Astyanax mexicanus: one gene and its partner. The protein of the gene in region 1 purifies or fractionates together with the protein of each later gene. This does not show direct contact. Links are inferred from orthologs where the notes say so. Each region holds a gene or a part of one and is shown in the gene's direction. Other genes may lie near its edges.

The links. The genes of interacting proteins can lie anywhere in the genome.
Region 2: the proteins of phb (region 1) and ndufs2 purify together in Homo sapiens (affinity purification with mass spectrometry; 3 studies listed by BioGRID and IntAct, with this or other methods). This does not show direct contact. The link is inferred for Astyanax mexicanus from reciprocal best matches to the Homo sapiens genes PHB1 and NDUFS2.

What each region holds. Positions count from the first base shown.
Region 1 is NC_064426.1:27,732,081-27,740,253, reverse strand, and holds the start of phb (prohibitin), read left to right. Parts: upstream 1-5,011; 5' UTR 5,012-5,159; exon of another isoform or gene 5,160-5,187; intron 5,188-5,916; 5' UTR 5,917-5,934; coding exon 5,935-6,019; intron 6,020-6,988; coding exon 6,989-7,150; intron 7,151-7,574; coding exon 7,575-7,717; intron 7,718-7,807; coding exon 7,808-7,924; intron 7,925-8,069; coding exon 8,070-8,165; intron 8,166-8,173.
Region 2 is NC_064415.1:29,481,431-29,489,030, forward strand, and holds the start of ndufs2 (NADH dehydrogenase [ubiquinone] iron-sulfur protein 2, mitochondrial), read left to right. Parts: upstream 1-4,481; 5' UTR 4,482-4,532; coding exon 4,533-4,636; intron 4,637-7,413; coding exon 7,414-7,517; intron 7,518-7,600. UniProt on the Homo sapiens protein: Core subunit of the mitochondrial membrane respiratory chain NADH dehydrogenase (Complex I) which catalyzes electron transfer from NADH through the respiratory chain, using ubiquinone as an electron acceptor. Essential for the catalytic activity of complex I.

The sequences.
Region 1 (8,173 bases):
AAGGATAAACTAAAAGACTTAAACAAACAAGCAAAATAAGCAAACAAAGAAACAAACTAAAGAAAACAAACCAGAACACTGTAGACAAAAAACACGGCAGGTCAAAGGCTCAACAAACACATATGAACAAGATCAAAACAGAGTAACAGGGCGAGGTCAAACACAACACAACACAACAAAACAAAGGAGCACATGGGGTATTTATACACAGGCACACACAAGGGTAGAAGTAACGAGGGGGCGTGGTTACAAATGAGACAGGAGGTATTACAGATGACAGGGCGGGGCTAAGGCGGAGACAGGACAATAACACAGGCCAAGTGCTCAAACAACACATGAGGGAGAAAACTAAACAAACTAAAAAATACAGATCAGAAACAGAACGAACAGAAAAGAAAACACACTAGACATACAAAGGCTAAAGGTGTGAAAAACAGAAATTGTTGGGGTTTTCTAATAAAAATTAGCCCTATTCCCTGAAATGAGTTTAACGACCCTGATCTGATTTTGAACTATAAAATACGAGGCATCGCATCAGCACTAACTTCACAACCACTAAGTCAGGGATTTTAGTGGATGTACCATGTCAAATTGAGCTTTAATCTAAGACTGTTTGAATAGGATAAAATGTGTTGTAAAGAACATTAAATCTGAGCCAAGATAATTTGAGCAAAAGACAGCACCACCTAGTTCTCACTGACACCATTACTCAGCCATGGTCCTTTTCAATGAGCTTATCATACATTACTGTGCCAGGCAGAGTTGTACAGTACAAGCCAGCGATTACTGAGCCTTGGAAACACGTAGTTATTGCAGATCTGGATTACAGAGACAAAAGGCAACCCTGTTTTTGGGCTGAACAGACAGGAAGGGAGTTTACAGAAATGGTGATTTTACGTATTACGGACCTTTCACTGCCTGTAACCCGCACATTCCCAGAAGTGCCAAAATGGCTTGGAGAGGGGAATAATTATATACAAAGAGCTCCACTCTAACCTATTCTAACAGAGTTCTAAAGAAACCATCCAATGAAGGTGGAATTTGAACACACATGAAGAGAGCACAATAGATTAGAAGTCTATCACCTTAAACACTCAGGCACCTTGTCTTGGTTTGTCTCTAAAATGTCAGTTCCATTTTTTGGCCTGAAATGTTGTGAAATGCTTCTTTATTCACTTGTTCTTCATGTAAAGATGATCAACATTGTTGCAAAGGCATTTTAAACCCACACAAGCAGAGCACAATGAATTAGCAGTCCATTGCCTTATCCACACGGCCACCTCGTCTTCTTTTTCCATTTAATATACAGTTCCTGTTACACGCATTGGAGCAACAAATAAACGAGTTTAAACATCCGATGCAATAGCAAATATAAAGAAGCACACATTTCTAATGGTGAAACTTTATCTTTATCACACTCTAAATGTGGTGAAGACAGGCAGCGGCGTAGTAGCGGCATCACTCTTAGTTATGAAAGTGACATCAATCTCCTCCAATGGGGAGTGGACAGGCTCCAATGGGGCGTGGACAGGCCCAACAGAGGCATCGGTCTCCTCCAATGGGGTGTGGATGTGTCCAGCAGAGGCTTGACACATCCTCACTCTCCTCCAATGGGGGCCTGACATCTGACTGGGGCCTGGGGCCACTGGTTCCAAATTCCTGAAGTGATTAATAAGAGTACATCCATCTTTTAAAGGTTTGTTTGTACATCAAAAATTGAGTGCTTTTTAGTTTTCTAATATTTTTTTACCGTCTGGTTTTGTTGACATAATGTTACCTGCAATGTGAGATCAAGATCCTGTGGTATGGTCACATCATCATCATCATCATCATCATGGTCACCAATACCAATCTGCTGGCTAAGAAGATCTCCCCGATTGGACTGAGCCATTTCATTTCAAAGGGATACCCCACATGCACATTGGTGCCCAAATAACATCCCCTGCCTTAAATAATTGTGTGGGTTTGCAGGTGCCACAGATCTGACTGGGCTGTATGGGTGGTGCCAATTCTCCCTGACATCCTGTCTCAGCTGCCCATTTGCTTCATAAAGGATGTGTGCAATCCACTCTTGGTCACCTGGCTTGATGACCCGGAGGAGCGGCTTTGACAAGAACCTGGCCTGGCTTATTTCTGGATAGTGCTCAGGGACTGGGAGCAGCTGGAGCGGGAGCAGAAGCAGGGGAAGGAGGAAGTGGCCTGCCACTCTGAGTGGCTGGTACCATCTCAAATGCTGTGGAAGGGAGGAAGGGGCAGAAACAGAAGCATCTCCACTTCAAAGGTGATTGTTAAAGTGGGCTAAAGTTGTGGAGGGAAGGGCTGAAGGGGCTGGAGGAGAAATGTCTGGGAGGTCTGTGCAAGATTTCAACACATGACACTTTTCAAGGTGCTCTGACAAAGCCACAACACCCAAGGCCTATGTGCCACAGTGCTCAATAAATTATCTAACCTAGTGACGAGCTAGCTAACACTAATGTTACTGGAGATAGAATGAAAGCTAGCAACGAGCTAACTAACCTTAGTGACGAGCGAACGCTAGCAAACTACACACTAATGTTACTGGAGTTAGAACGAAAGCTAGCAACAAGCTAACTAACCTTTGCTATGAGCTTTTCCAGGTTGTTCTTGACCGTACAAACTCTATTTTTTATTACCATTTAATAAAAAAATAAATAAATAAACATGCTGTTTTTACTAATAATATACTGTTAATTACTGTAATATTTAATACTATATTAAAACTACATTTTTATAAACACACAATGTTTTAAATATAGACCGTTTCAATGAGGAAAACAATAACAAAGCTAATGCGCATGTCTGTTCCTTCGACGCTTCCGGTGGCGTTATTTTCAAGTATACAGCTGTCAAAATGAGAGCGCATATTTCCCGAAAACAGAGCAAACATATGGTCAGAAATTAGTAAAAAGTGATCAAACCTCTTTTCCTGATCCTTTTGATAAGGATTTAAGAGGGAAGTTTTTTCCTCTGATTTAAAACGCGTGCCAGAGGTGATCTACCCAGATGTGATCAATACCTTGTTGAAACGGAGGCAGTGAAAGCGCACCGCAGTTTGGGCGCATATAATTACTTTCTCAGTGGAAAAGTTGGGAATATTTGTTCATATAGTAGAGAAGCATCACTATAGTGTATGGTGAGGTTGGAGCAAGTCAAACGCTGTCCAACATGTACTCTGCATGGTTTATAGATAAGAGGCAGGGAGAAGTTGTGAGTTGACACTGTAACTGCATGGCAGGTCAGCAGTGTGAAAAACGAAAGCACGCGTGTTTACTATGGAGGACCAAAAATGACATAAGTATAAATAAAAAAATGTTGAAATAAATAAATGAATAAATAAATAAATAAATGTTGACATAAAAAATACACATATAAATTAATAAATAAATATATAAATAAGAAATGTATTTATTAATTAATTTAATTACCTATACACTTATTTGTGCATGTGTTTATTTATTTATATATTTGTTTATTCATTTATATGTGCATTTATTTATATATTTATTCATTTCAACATTAATTTTTTTATTCATTTATTTATTTATATATTTATACATTTATATGTGTATTTATTTATACTTATGTAATTTTTGGTCCTCCATAGTTTACATAGGTTTAAAGAACAATTTGTACTACTATTGTAGTAACCACGGGTGCAGTTGAACAAATTGTCCAGTAGGTGGAGCCACAGTGCTCTCAGATGAATTGCCCTTCAAATGGGAGCAGAAAGATCAAAGAATCTTGCTGGTTTAGAAGAAAGAAATTAGAAGAAACTTGTGTGAGTTCAGCACAAATAAAGGAAAACAAACATAGATGTCTCTTCCTCATCTCATCAAGTCATCACAGTTATGCAGTATGAATTAGAATAGTTTTTTTCCCCTGTATCTCTGCGCACATAATTACGACATATGAAATATGAGGACATTTAAGGAATAGGACATATATAAAAACAATAGAATAGAACAATATAAGCAATAAAAATAAGCAGTAATCTATAATAATAAAACACAAGTAACCCATAAGAGCCCAGACCAATTTCTGAATATTGATACTAATTCATTGAATTTAATAAATTTATTGAGCAGCTCATTCATGTTTTTCTTGTGTGTGGGTTAAAATGTTAAAATCATGATGTAACATAAATCCAGTCACAAACAGGTCAGAACTAGTTATATGGAGCAAAAAACATTTTCTTAACGCGTTTGAACGGTTAAATGGTTGTAATAGAGCTGTAGAAGCAAAAAAAAAAACATCTCCAGCACTATCCCATCACACAGCTTTAAAATCTCTCTCTCTCTCTCTCTATATATATATATATATATATATATATATAGACATATATATATATATATAGACATAAAGAAAGAGAGAGAGAGAGAGAGAAAGAGAGAGAGCTCTGGAAAAAATAAGATACCACTTAAGACTGACGAGTTTCTTTGACTTTACCAAATTAAAAAAACGATGGAAAATAATCAAGAGTAATGGATGATCACAAGCCATCAAACTAATTTTTGCACCAGGAGGAACATAAAGTTATCCAAAGGCAGTGTGTTAGACTGGTGGAGGAGAACATGCCAAGATGCATGAAAACTGTGATTAAAAACCAGGGTTATTCCACTAAATATTGATTTCTGATCTCTTAAAACTGTATGATTATGAACTTGTTTTCTTTGCATTATTTGAGGTCTGAAAACTCTGCATTTCTTAGTTTTTTCAGCTATTTCACATTTTCTGCAAATAAATGCTCTAAATGACAATATTTTTATTTTGAATTTGGGAGAACTGTTGTCTGTAGTTTATAGAATAAAACAACAATGTTAATTTTACTCAAACATATACCTATCAATAGCAAAATCAGAGAAACTTTTTTTTAAGTTTAGGGAATTTTCTGACTTCAGATACTCCGTCTGAAGGCAGCATGTGTTGTGTTACGTATCCGCAGGAAGAGCCGTCAAGGTCCAGAACCACAACCAATGAAATCACTCCATACTTACAGGCACGCGCTTCTCCCCTTCTCAGCTTCAGCGCGTCCAATCAGAATCGCTTCTGTTGGGCAGTCTGCGCATGCTCATACGTCTTGTCTGTTCATGTGGCTGGTCGCTGGGTTTGTGTGGAGGTCACAGTGATCAGGAGCCCGGGTGAGTTACCTGCAGTGCTGGAGCCCATGTGAGAACAGTAGTTATATGTTAACTGATGATGTGCTGGTTGTGTGTATAGGAGTTAGGGTGAAGTAGCTAGCTTGGTTTTTGTGCCTCGTTTCAGTAGAAATGTGTGATTTACTAGTGCTGGCGAACTGCAGCAGCGGTGCGGTTGCAAAACGTTGCACCAGCAATAGATGCTAACTAGTTAGCTTAGCTAACGTTAGGTTAACTAAGCTAGCTAACTGAGTGTGTTCTTGGTTTAGTATTAGCTTGTTATAATCTTGAATTAATAGGTAACTTAGTCGTATTCATTTAACTAGGTAGTGAAGTAGTCACTAAATATTTCCAGACGTTTCTAGGTTAACTAGAATAGTTTATAGCTAGCTAATAGCTAGCATAGCATAGTCCATAATCAAGGCCTCTGAACAGTGCTCACATTATGCACATTTGTAGTTAGTTAGCTAACTAACTGTTGGCTCTGTTTGTTATACAGAATTAAACTAACTGAACACCAATAAGCTAGTTACCCAGTATGCTTAGCTCTGTCCGCTAGTTATATAATATTGATGATTAGCTCTTGATACATAAGTGAAGAGTAGATTTCCTGGCTGTTCTAAGAAGGAATGTTCCAGATAACCTCACACTTTGTCCTTTCTAAACCTAATAAGCTAACCCACATGCTGTTTTATAGTTTTTTCCACAGAATTTCACATTAATATTGTGTAAAAATAATAAATAATCCTTTTTCCCCCAGAGCCGTCACTCCGCTGTCATGGCTAAGTTATTTGAGTCTATTGGAAAGTTGGGATTGGCCTTGGCCGTTGGAGGAGGCGTGGTGAACTCTGCCCTCTTTAATGGTAAGTGGATTTCAGTGTGTTTTAGTGAAGTGTTGTAGTTGTTCACGTCTGTATCCATTAACACGATTAACAGTCTTTATTTCAGCAGCACGGCTGTGTTCAGTTTACTTTGTCTGAGATTAAAAGTCATGTGTTTTAACAGATTATCTGTCTAAAGCTGTATGTTCATATTACACATGGGAAAAGAATATTGTTGCTGTTGAATGGAGAACAATTATATCCAATTTTTTTTTTTTTTTTTTTAAAATAGCCCATAAAACCCCATTTAAAAATGCATATGCTTTCAAAGTAAAGAAGAGTTAAATATAAAAATATAAGACATTAAATATTAAAACATAATAACACAATAAATAATAAAAAACATGTATTTATTGTTTATAAGCTGTGCACAACCTGCCCAGAACGTGTCTGCGACCCACTTTTGGGTCCAAACCCACCAGCTGAGAATCGCTGCCTTACACTCACTTAATTTCCTGATGAACGGGTGGGTTTTTATGTCAGGGATTTTTATTGAGTCTCTATTAATCTGCAATGTAGTAAATAATGAAAAAAAGAATGTGTCCAAACGTTTGACTGGTACTGTGTCTTTGAAACAGAACAGGGACACCATGAGCAATTCAAAATGTTTGCATCTCTAGGTCAAGCATGGCTTCATCAAATGCTAATTTTCCCTAAAATTGTCCACCCTGCTGTGCAGCTTGCCATAACAAGGTGGACACATTCGTGACAGGAAATACAGTGTGCAAATTAAAAATATTATTTCTGATTAGGCATCTTGTCATAAGTTTTTTTTTTTTTTTTTTTTTTTTTAATACCTATGAAATGCCTAATACTATGATCCTAATACTAAAAGATTATGCCAAACTTTGCCCCTAATTGCTGTAAACTTTTTTATATTCTAAACTATATAATTACTAATAAAAAAATGATTTTGACTTAATCTAATCTATATCTGTGTGTGTCCTGCAGTTGACGCTGGTCACAGGGCAGTCATCTTTGACCGGTTTAGAGGAGTACAGGATGCCGTGGTTGGGGAGGGAACACATTTTCTGATTCCCTGGGTTCAGAAACCCATCATTTTTGACTGCAGGTCCCGCCCACGCAATGTGCCTGTCGTGACTGGAAGCAAAGGTAACTACTGTCAGAAAAAAAAATATATATATATCATTTTCATGATCTTGACCATGACCTTGACTCTGAAGGGGTGTAGTAATGGCCTTGTTATATTTTCAGTGCTTAGTGGCCATGGCAATGTTTTCTTATCATTTTAATTCTTAGCAGTGGGTCTTGCTGTCTACAGTATGTTAACCATATATCAGTGTCATGAAAAATGTGGAAATTTGTCCAAGTTGTTTCTTGGACAACGTATCGTCCAGAAACTTTTTTTTCAATTATTATTATAATTTTTTTTATAAATAATGTAGTAAAATTTTCATTCCAAATAAATAATTATCTCTCTACAATGGAATCTATAGAGTTTGCAGTGACTGACTAGTTACCCTAAGGCTAATGCTCTATTAGTATTATAGTTGTCTTTCCTTTCTTTTTCCTTCAGATCTACAGAATGTGAACATTACACTGAGGATTCTCTTCAGACCGGTAGCAAATCAACTGCCTAGGATTTTCACCAGTATTGGTGAAGACTATGATGAAAGAGTGCTCCCCTCCATCACCACTGAAGTCCTGAAAGCTGTTGTGGTGGGTAGCTATAAATCATTCTGTGTGTCTCAGTATAAGAGGTCCTAATAGTATGTGACCATGTGGCCGTGTCTCCATGTTTCCCCTCAGGCCAGGTTTGATGCAGGAGAGCTGATCACTCAGAGAGAGCTGGTATCCAGGCAGGTCAGTGAAGATCTGACTGAGAGAGCGTCCACATTCGGCCTTATCCTGGATGACGTTTCCCTGGTAATCCTTGATACTTTATATCTGTCTCACTTCCTTCATTCATTGCCTGTGGAGTGTGACTACAATGATGATGATGATTATGATGATGATTATGATGATCTTGATCCAGATTATATTTAAAGCAACTTTTCTTTCTGTTCTTCAGACTCACCTGACGTTTGGTAAAGAATTCACAGAGGCTGTTGAAATGAAACAAGTGGCTCAGCAAGAAGCTGAACGGGCAAGGTTTGTTGTGGAAAAGGTAAGATA
Region 2 (7,600 bases), on another chromosome or scaffold:
CGGCTTAAATCACTCTCTTCTCCTGCTTTATGCCAACAGACTCCATTCAGGTAAATGAAGCTGGCTAACTAACTAGCTTGCTGTACGGTGGCCTAGACGTCTCCTTCTTCTACGATGGTCAAGTGGACGCGTAATGCGGCATGCAGTACTGTCGGGAGTAGAAGCAGTAAAAATCTAAACGTATTTTAAAATCGATTTCAGGGCATTTTGAAGTGATTCAGAACTCTAGGACTAGGAATCAGGATTCTTAAAAGAATCTATTTTTTCAGCACCCATACTTCGGGTTACATGTTTTATCTGTTTTACTGTGACAACAGATTATTTAAATGTAAGCTCCATAAATCTCCTTTATCATTAACAGTATCACCTTCATCTTGCCCTCCTCCACCACCAGCTGCCAGGTTGCATCTCCACCAGGGTTGCCAGGTCCAACAAAAATATCGTGCCCAAAGTCTGTTTAAAATCACCCCTTCAGAAGCTTAAACTAGCCCAAAATATTTCTGGCACCGAGTGAAGCAAACGGCAAAACAACTATGTAGTATTTTATTTAGAATAATATAGTAACTATTAAACTATTGTAAAAATAATATTGTAATATTGTAGTGTTTTATTAGTTCTTTTGTAACAGTTTTATACGCCAGTTAAGAAAATGTAATAGTAACAGCATCTCCTCCACCTAATAGAGATAAAAAAGGAAGAGAGAAGAAGGGAAAGGATGTGTTGGTGTTGGAGGTCATTTCCACATGTAAAAATAGCCCAAAGTAGTGTGGAAGTGTTCTGAGGTCATTTATTAAAGCAGCAGTCCCTAACTTTCGCAAAAGTTACTTTCTTTTAAATTGAAAGCAGTAGTTTTCCTCGGTGGTGAGGTGAACAAATGTTCTAATTAAATGGTATCAATCTTCTGGCACAACCATCCTTGCAATTTGGGTTTGTTTTTTTTATCAAATTGAAAACCTCTGGAGTATAATCAAGAGGAAGATGGATGATCACAAGCCATCAAACCAAGCTGAACTGCTTGAATTTTTGCACCAGGAGTGGCATAAAGTTATCCAAAAGCAGGGTGTAAGACTGGTGGAGGAGAACATGCCAAGATGCATGAAAACTGTGATTAAAAAACAGGGTTATTCCACCAAACGTTGATTTCTGAACTGTTAAAACCTTATGAATATGAACTTGTGTTCTTTGCATTATTTAAGATCTGAAAGCTCTGCAACCTTCTTTTTCATTTCAACCATTTCTAATTTTCTACAAATAAATGCTCTGAATAACAATATTTTAATTTGGAATTTGGGAGAAATGTTGTCCGTAGTTTATAGAATAAAACAAAAACGTTCATTTTACTCAAACATAAACCTATAAATAGCAAAATCAGAGAAACAGATTCAGAAACTGAAATGGTCTCGTATTTTTTTCCAGAGCTGTATATAATTTTTTTCCTCATTCTTCCTTCAAATGTTAAGTTGGGTCGTCAATGTCACATTATTCTCTAAATATCCACACAGGTCTACAGGCAGGTCAATTCAGGATCGATACTCTCTTTTTCCTCAGCCTCAACTATTCTGCATTAATTTCACCATCACAGAAATGTAAATTACCTTTGCAAACAGCACTGACACACCATTCTATAACAGATCATGGCTTCTGACACACACTCGGTGTGGTCGATTTCTAAACGTCAGCGTAGGAAGAAAATTGCACCTGCAGATGCCATCACTGCAGCATGCACAACCTGAGGGGGGAAGATAAAGATCTGTAGCTGTATGATGTTTAGATAAATGTGTGTGTGATCTTACCACAACTTACTGGGTGATTGCGAAAGAAAATGTTTTAAGAAATTTAAATGAAAATTTATAATATAAAGGGACTGAGACAATTTAAAGATTTTTTCCTACAGCCATTGATAAAAGCCACTGACAATATACACAACAAGCATTTTATTAGGAACACGGTTGTAGCTCACTGAACCTACCCATACAACTCATACAAGTAAAAGAAGTTTTACAATGGCAACATATAATCACATTCATAGCTACTTCATTAATCATATTCACAGCTTACTCTTCACCTGATTGTGGAGCTTTTTAAAAGGATACAGTGGCTGCAACACACTGTGTTTGACTGATAATTGTGTTCCACACCTGGCAACCTGGGGTGTGGAAATAAGACTGGGGAGGTTAGATTCTCTGCCCGGATTTCCCACCACTGTCCCCAGGCCGGGTCAGACCGGGCTCTGTTTTTTAAGCTATTTTATATAAAGCTATGGCTTTATATTCACAATATAGTAAATAATCGTGTTTTTAAAAAGTTGCACAAGTTAAAATGTTATGATTATGAAGCTCTGGAACTGTGCAGTGAGCACTGCGCACGTCAGCTCCTCCTCCTAGCCTTATTGCTGTTTTTGTGTTCTGCGCTTAGACTATAAGCTTAAAAAAATTTGTTTAGAAAGTATTGTATATTCTTATACATTGTTAATTATTTTACAGTGGACGAAGGTCATTGTAATTCATGCTATTGCTCTTGGTCTATTTTGGTTTAATGAGTGTGCGTTGCCTTATTGTTGTTTTTTTGTGTTTTGCCATAGGCTATATGTTTTAAAATATTTTTAAAATATTTTTGTTCAGAAAGTGTTTTATTTTTTTTTAGACATTGTTAATTATATTAGAGTAGACAGGGAGATCGGTTCTTAATCAACATTGTTTTTAAATAATTGGTCTATGCTTCTTCAGTGTTTCAGTGTTAATTAACATAATTTTAAAAATTGTCTGGTTTAAGTCGGGCTCAGGCTCAAAAAGACTGTTTATGAGGCGGGTCGGGTCGGGCTTGAGCAGAATGTGCACAGGTTCAGGTTGGGATGGGCTGGATTTTCTGGACCCGGTCTAAGATCTATCTATAACAACTTAAATAGAAACATATTGGCTAATGTTTTGCAATAACCTGGCATGTTTATTTAATATGATTACACATTCTGATTGTATGAGGTAGTACAGAAAATAAATAGGTTATAGGTTCTGTAAATGATCACACCATGCTGATTATAAAGGAATAAAAAGGTAAATTTTTTTGTTTAAGGTTTAGATTTCTCATAATAATAAAATGATAAACTCTGTAAAACTGTATAAAATAAAACTATTTGATTGAAGTGTGAATACTAAAATCTGATCTGTTTCTTTATTGAGGTCTGAAGTTCAAGAATGGTAGTAAAGCCATCTGAGTGAGAGTGCCTTTTGTTTGCCTCATGCTCTTAGTTCTCTGTTCTTCTAAGACATGCTCAGCTTTGAAAGGAGCTTCTGAAGCTTCACTTCTGCATTCTCATTCTCAGTTGTCTTGCCATTTTCCACTTTCCATTTTTTTTTCCAGTTTTTAGTTTACACTCAAAAAATTTGTGCTAGTCAAATTAATGCAAAATGTGCAATTTTATATTATGTCAATTGTGGTGCTAGTCAAAACAATGCAAAATGTTCTTATAATTTCTTTATTGAGCAACACCAATACAAAGACTCAGAAAAGATGGGGCAGACCCAAAACATAAAAATGGCTCATCACTGGATCCTCTGAATTACGAGATTGTTTAAGAGTCGTAATAAGAAAAATGCTAGTTTTAAGCTAATGCTACAGTGGGGGAAAACTGACCTCCCAGTGCAGCTGCAGAGATCGACAGGGGACTCTTTTCGGTGCAACACCAGCAAATTCCGGCTGTATGTTTACACCATATTAAAGCCTGCTGACCCATCTAATAAAAAGCAGCACAGTTACCCCAGAACCAGGTTTAAACACTCAATAAATTAAATAATCCAAAACGTGATCCGGCAGGAGTTCGCTAGTGTTGTGCAGAATTGAGTCCGCTGCCATTCCCTGCCGCTGTGCTGTGAAGTCAGTTGAGCATTAGCTTGAAGCTAGCATTTTTCGAATTACTAACCTTAAAGGATCTCATAATTCAGAAGATCCAGTGATGTTCAGGAGGAAAACGTACACAGATTAAAATGAACAAGGTTCTGAACATATGTATTTACCACAGAATGTGATAGAGGCCAGTTGTTAAAAAGAATTGTTAGACACGGAACCCCAAATATGGGCATAAACAACAACATGGTGCCGCAATCTACATGACTTCAGTGCTCTATTGGCATGGAAACTATAATAAATATAAAATATTGCACCAAAAGTTATAATATGAAATTCATCATATGTATTGCATATTTGAGGTGAATAGTTAATGTAACGTTGCATATATGAGTGAGTGTAAAAGTACATCCCATGTAAGCCAACTATCAATGTTGAGAGTGATATGTCTACATAGACCATCAGTCTATCGAGGTAGAAAACCTGATCCGTGGCTCTGCGGTTCTGCAGACAGACCCATCTCTCTAAAACCATTAACGTTACAAGTTCTCATGTTGCCCCTTTAAGTTTTCCCTGTCTCTGCTGCCCCCTGGTGGTGAGGGGCAGTAGCGCAGGTACCGCTCCGCTGGGGGGCAGTAGAACGGGCTAGACGAGCTGAATTTGAAGGCAGTCAGACAGTCCGGCCTGTGAACATGGCGGCGACTATGCTGAGGTCGCTCTCCAAACTCGGACGTCCTTCAGCGGCGATTTTAAACAGCAGCGCTCTGACCCCGAGCTGCGCTGTGCTTCAGAAGAGGTAAGTCTCAGATCACAGAACAGGACTTCAGCTCTAGCTGCTGAAATAAACTGCAGCTTCCTGCGGGCGGACTGTTAAATCAGAAACTCTGGTCTGTGTGTTGAGATATAAACTGCAGGAATATTTCGGGTTAATGTCAGCACTGTACACGGGGCAGGGGTTCAAATCTGAGCTGAGCGTGTCTGGACTGTATATACGGTGGTTTGGTGGTTAATAATGCGCTGAATCTGTTCATTAGGTGCGGGTAGTTTCATAACTAACCTTTTGCGTTAGCAAGCAGGCTAAACTGAGTAGAGGTAGGTAACCCAGGCCCGGAAAGTAAAAATCCATCCCAGGGTTTTGTACCAACTGCTTGGACGGCTCAGCAGTTGTTACCAAACCCTGGAATGGATTTTTACTTTCCGGAGCTGGGTTACCCACCTTTAAATCTGAGCTAGGTTAAGTAACGCCAGCTAATTCAGCGAGCCGGTGTACGCTCATAGACTCCATAGATAATCTGTTTAGTAGCTAAATAAGGTCACAGATTATTATACGGTCTGAATTTACTGCGTGGTTAAGTTACATGCGACCTGTTCTTCTGAAGATAGATAATTAGTTAGTGATTAATAGGATATCTAAGTTAGCTAACATGTCCCAAAAGTATCTGGACAGCTTGTTGTCAGATTGGCTGGAGTGCACACATTGCTGAAACAGGAATTCAGGGTGCCACAAACACAGCTAAGCTAGTTTAATCCACAAATAAAAGCATTGCCAGTAGAATAAGACACTCTGCAGCAGCAGCAAATGAGCGTAAGGTCACTAAGCTAGCTAGTGCTATGTCCAATGACAGAGGAACGTGGATAACAGTGGATGAAGCTCAGTTACTAACCTACAGTACTTTTGGGAAGACTTGTTGCAGCATCTGTCCAGAACTAAGTTAATCTTCCTACACGAGTACCTGTCCTCTCTAAAGCGCTTGAGACTGGATACCATCAGATTCTAACAGCAATATTTCAACATATCGTTTAAAAGTGTAATAATTAAACTTTTTTGGTCTGATTGGGTCTTTCCGAATGAAAGCTTTAAGAGATAATTAATGTTTAGGCCATGTGATTCCCGTAAACACTGCTGTGTGTGTGTGTGTGTGTGTGTGTGTGTGTGTGTGTGTGTGTATACATACAGCTCCGGGGGAAAATAAGAGACCAACTAAAAATAGTCAGTTTCTCAGATTTAACTCTTTATAACTATATAATTGCGTAAAATGAATATTGTGGTTTTATTTTATAAATCGCTGACAAAATTCCTCCCAAGTTACAAAAACAAATAGTCATTTAGAGCATTTATTTACAGAAAATGAGAAATGGTCAAAATAATGAAAAAGGTACAGTGCTTTCAAACCTCAAATAAGGCAAAGAAAATAAGTTAATTCCTTTTGAAACAACAGCAATACTAAGGTTTTACCGAAGGAAGAGTTCCGAGTCAATTCTTGTTAGAATATCCCAGATTGTTCATCACAGCTTTCATGTGTCTCTGCATGCTCTCCACCAGTCTTTCACACTGCTTTTGGGTGTCTTTATGCCACTCCTGGCGCAAAAATTCAAGCAGTTCAGCTTTGATGGTTGTGACCTTCTATCTTCCGCTTCATTATGTTCCAGAGGTTTTTCAACGGTGTTCAAAATGAACAACAAAGTTTGTTTTACTTAAACATGTACCTGTAAAAAGCAAAATCAAGGAAACTGATTCAGAAACCAAAGTGGTCTCTTAATTTTTGTCCAGAGCTGTATATATGCATAATTAAATGAAAGCATTCAAACAGCTTGTCAGATTGACTGGAGTGCACACATTGCTGGTACAGGTGTTCAGGTACCATAAACATAACTAGCTTAATCCCTATACTAAAACATTGCCAGTAGAATAAGATCATCTCGAGTTGCAGCAAATGAGCTTAAGGTCACTAAGCGATCTAGTTTTTTAAAATGACAGAAATTTTTTTATCCCATTTTCTCCTCAATTTACAAAGTCAGTTACCTAACTCACTAGGGACTCCCTTTATCACTAGTAATGCCCCAACACCAGGATGGTGAAGACTAGCACATGCCTCCTCTGATACATGTGAAGTCAGCCGTCGCCTCTTTTCGAGCTGCTGCTGATGCAACACATCTGAGTAGCATCATTGTGCTCGGAGGAAAGCGCAGCGGCTCGGTTCCAATACGTCAGCTCACAGATGTCTTGTGCTGATTGACATCACCCTTTGGAGTGATGTGGGGAGAGGGTGCCATAGCTGAACACAGGTTAGATTATAACTAACTTATTTAACTAGCAAACTTAATTTTTTTGCAGAATAGCTAGGTCATATTCCCAAGAGTGCACACATTGCTGCTACAGGTGTTTGTTAATTTAGGCTTTTACCCAAATCCTGCATTGCTTTTCCCTCATAATAACGTTTTGTTAATATATTGACTTATTTTACAATATGTGAACATGACCTTGATTAATTTAACTGACCTTCGCATTGCACACTGTTTTTTATTTTATTGTAATGCCCATTTAATATGAAAGTTTTGATATGTTGACTTTGTTTAAAAACTGTGTGTTTTTTGGGGTCTTTAAACATGTGTTTTAAAGCTGTAGTTACTTTGTTTTGCTATTATATTGTCTTTGGATCCATCCCTAAAATCATTTATCTTAATTATTTCTTGGTCAGTGTGTTTTCCAAACCAAAATATAGTTATCATGACTGTGATAACTATATAAAAAATTCTAATGACCACAACTAAATCACTTCATCATCCCTGTAGGCAGAAGCAATGGCAGCCAGATGTGGAGTGGGCAGAGCAGTATGGAGGTGCAGTGATGTATCCTACTTCCATCACTGAAAAATGGGTACCACCACCATGGAACGGTATGCATATTTTGGATCCTTTTGCCATTGATATTTTGTTGCTAGAATCTCTTCTCTTTAAGTACAAATATTGAGAGTCTGAT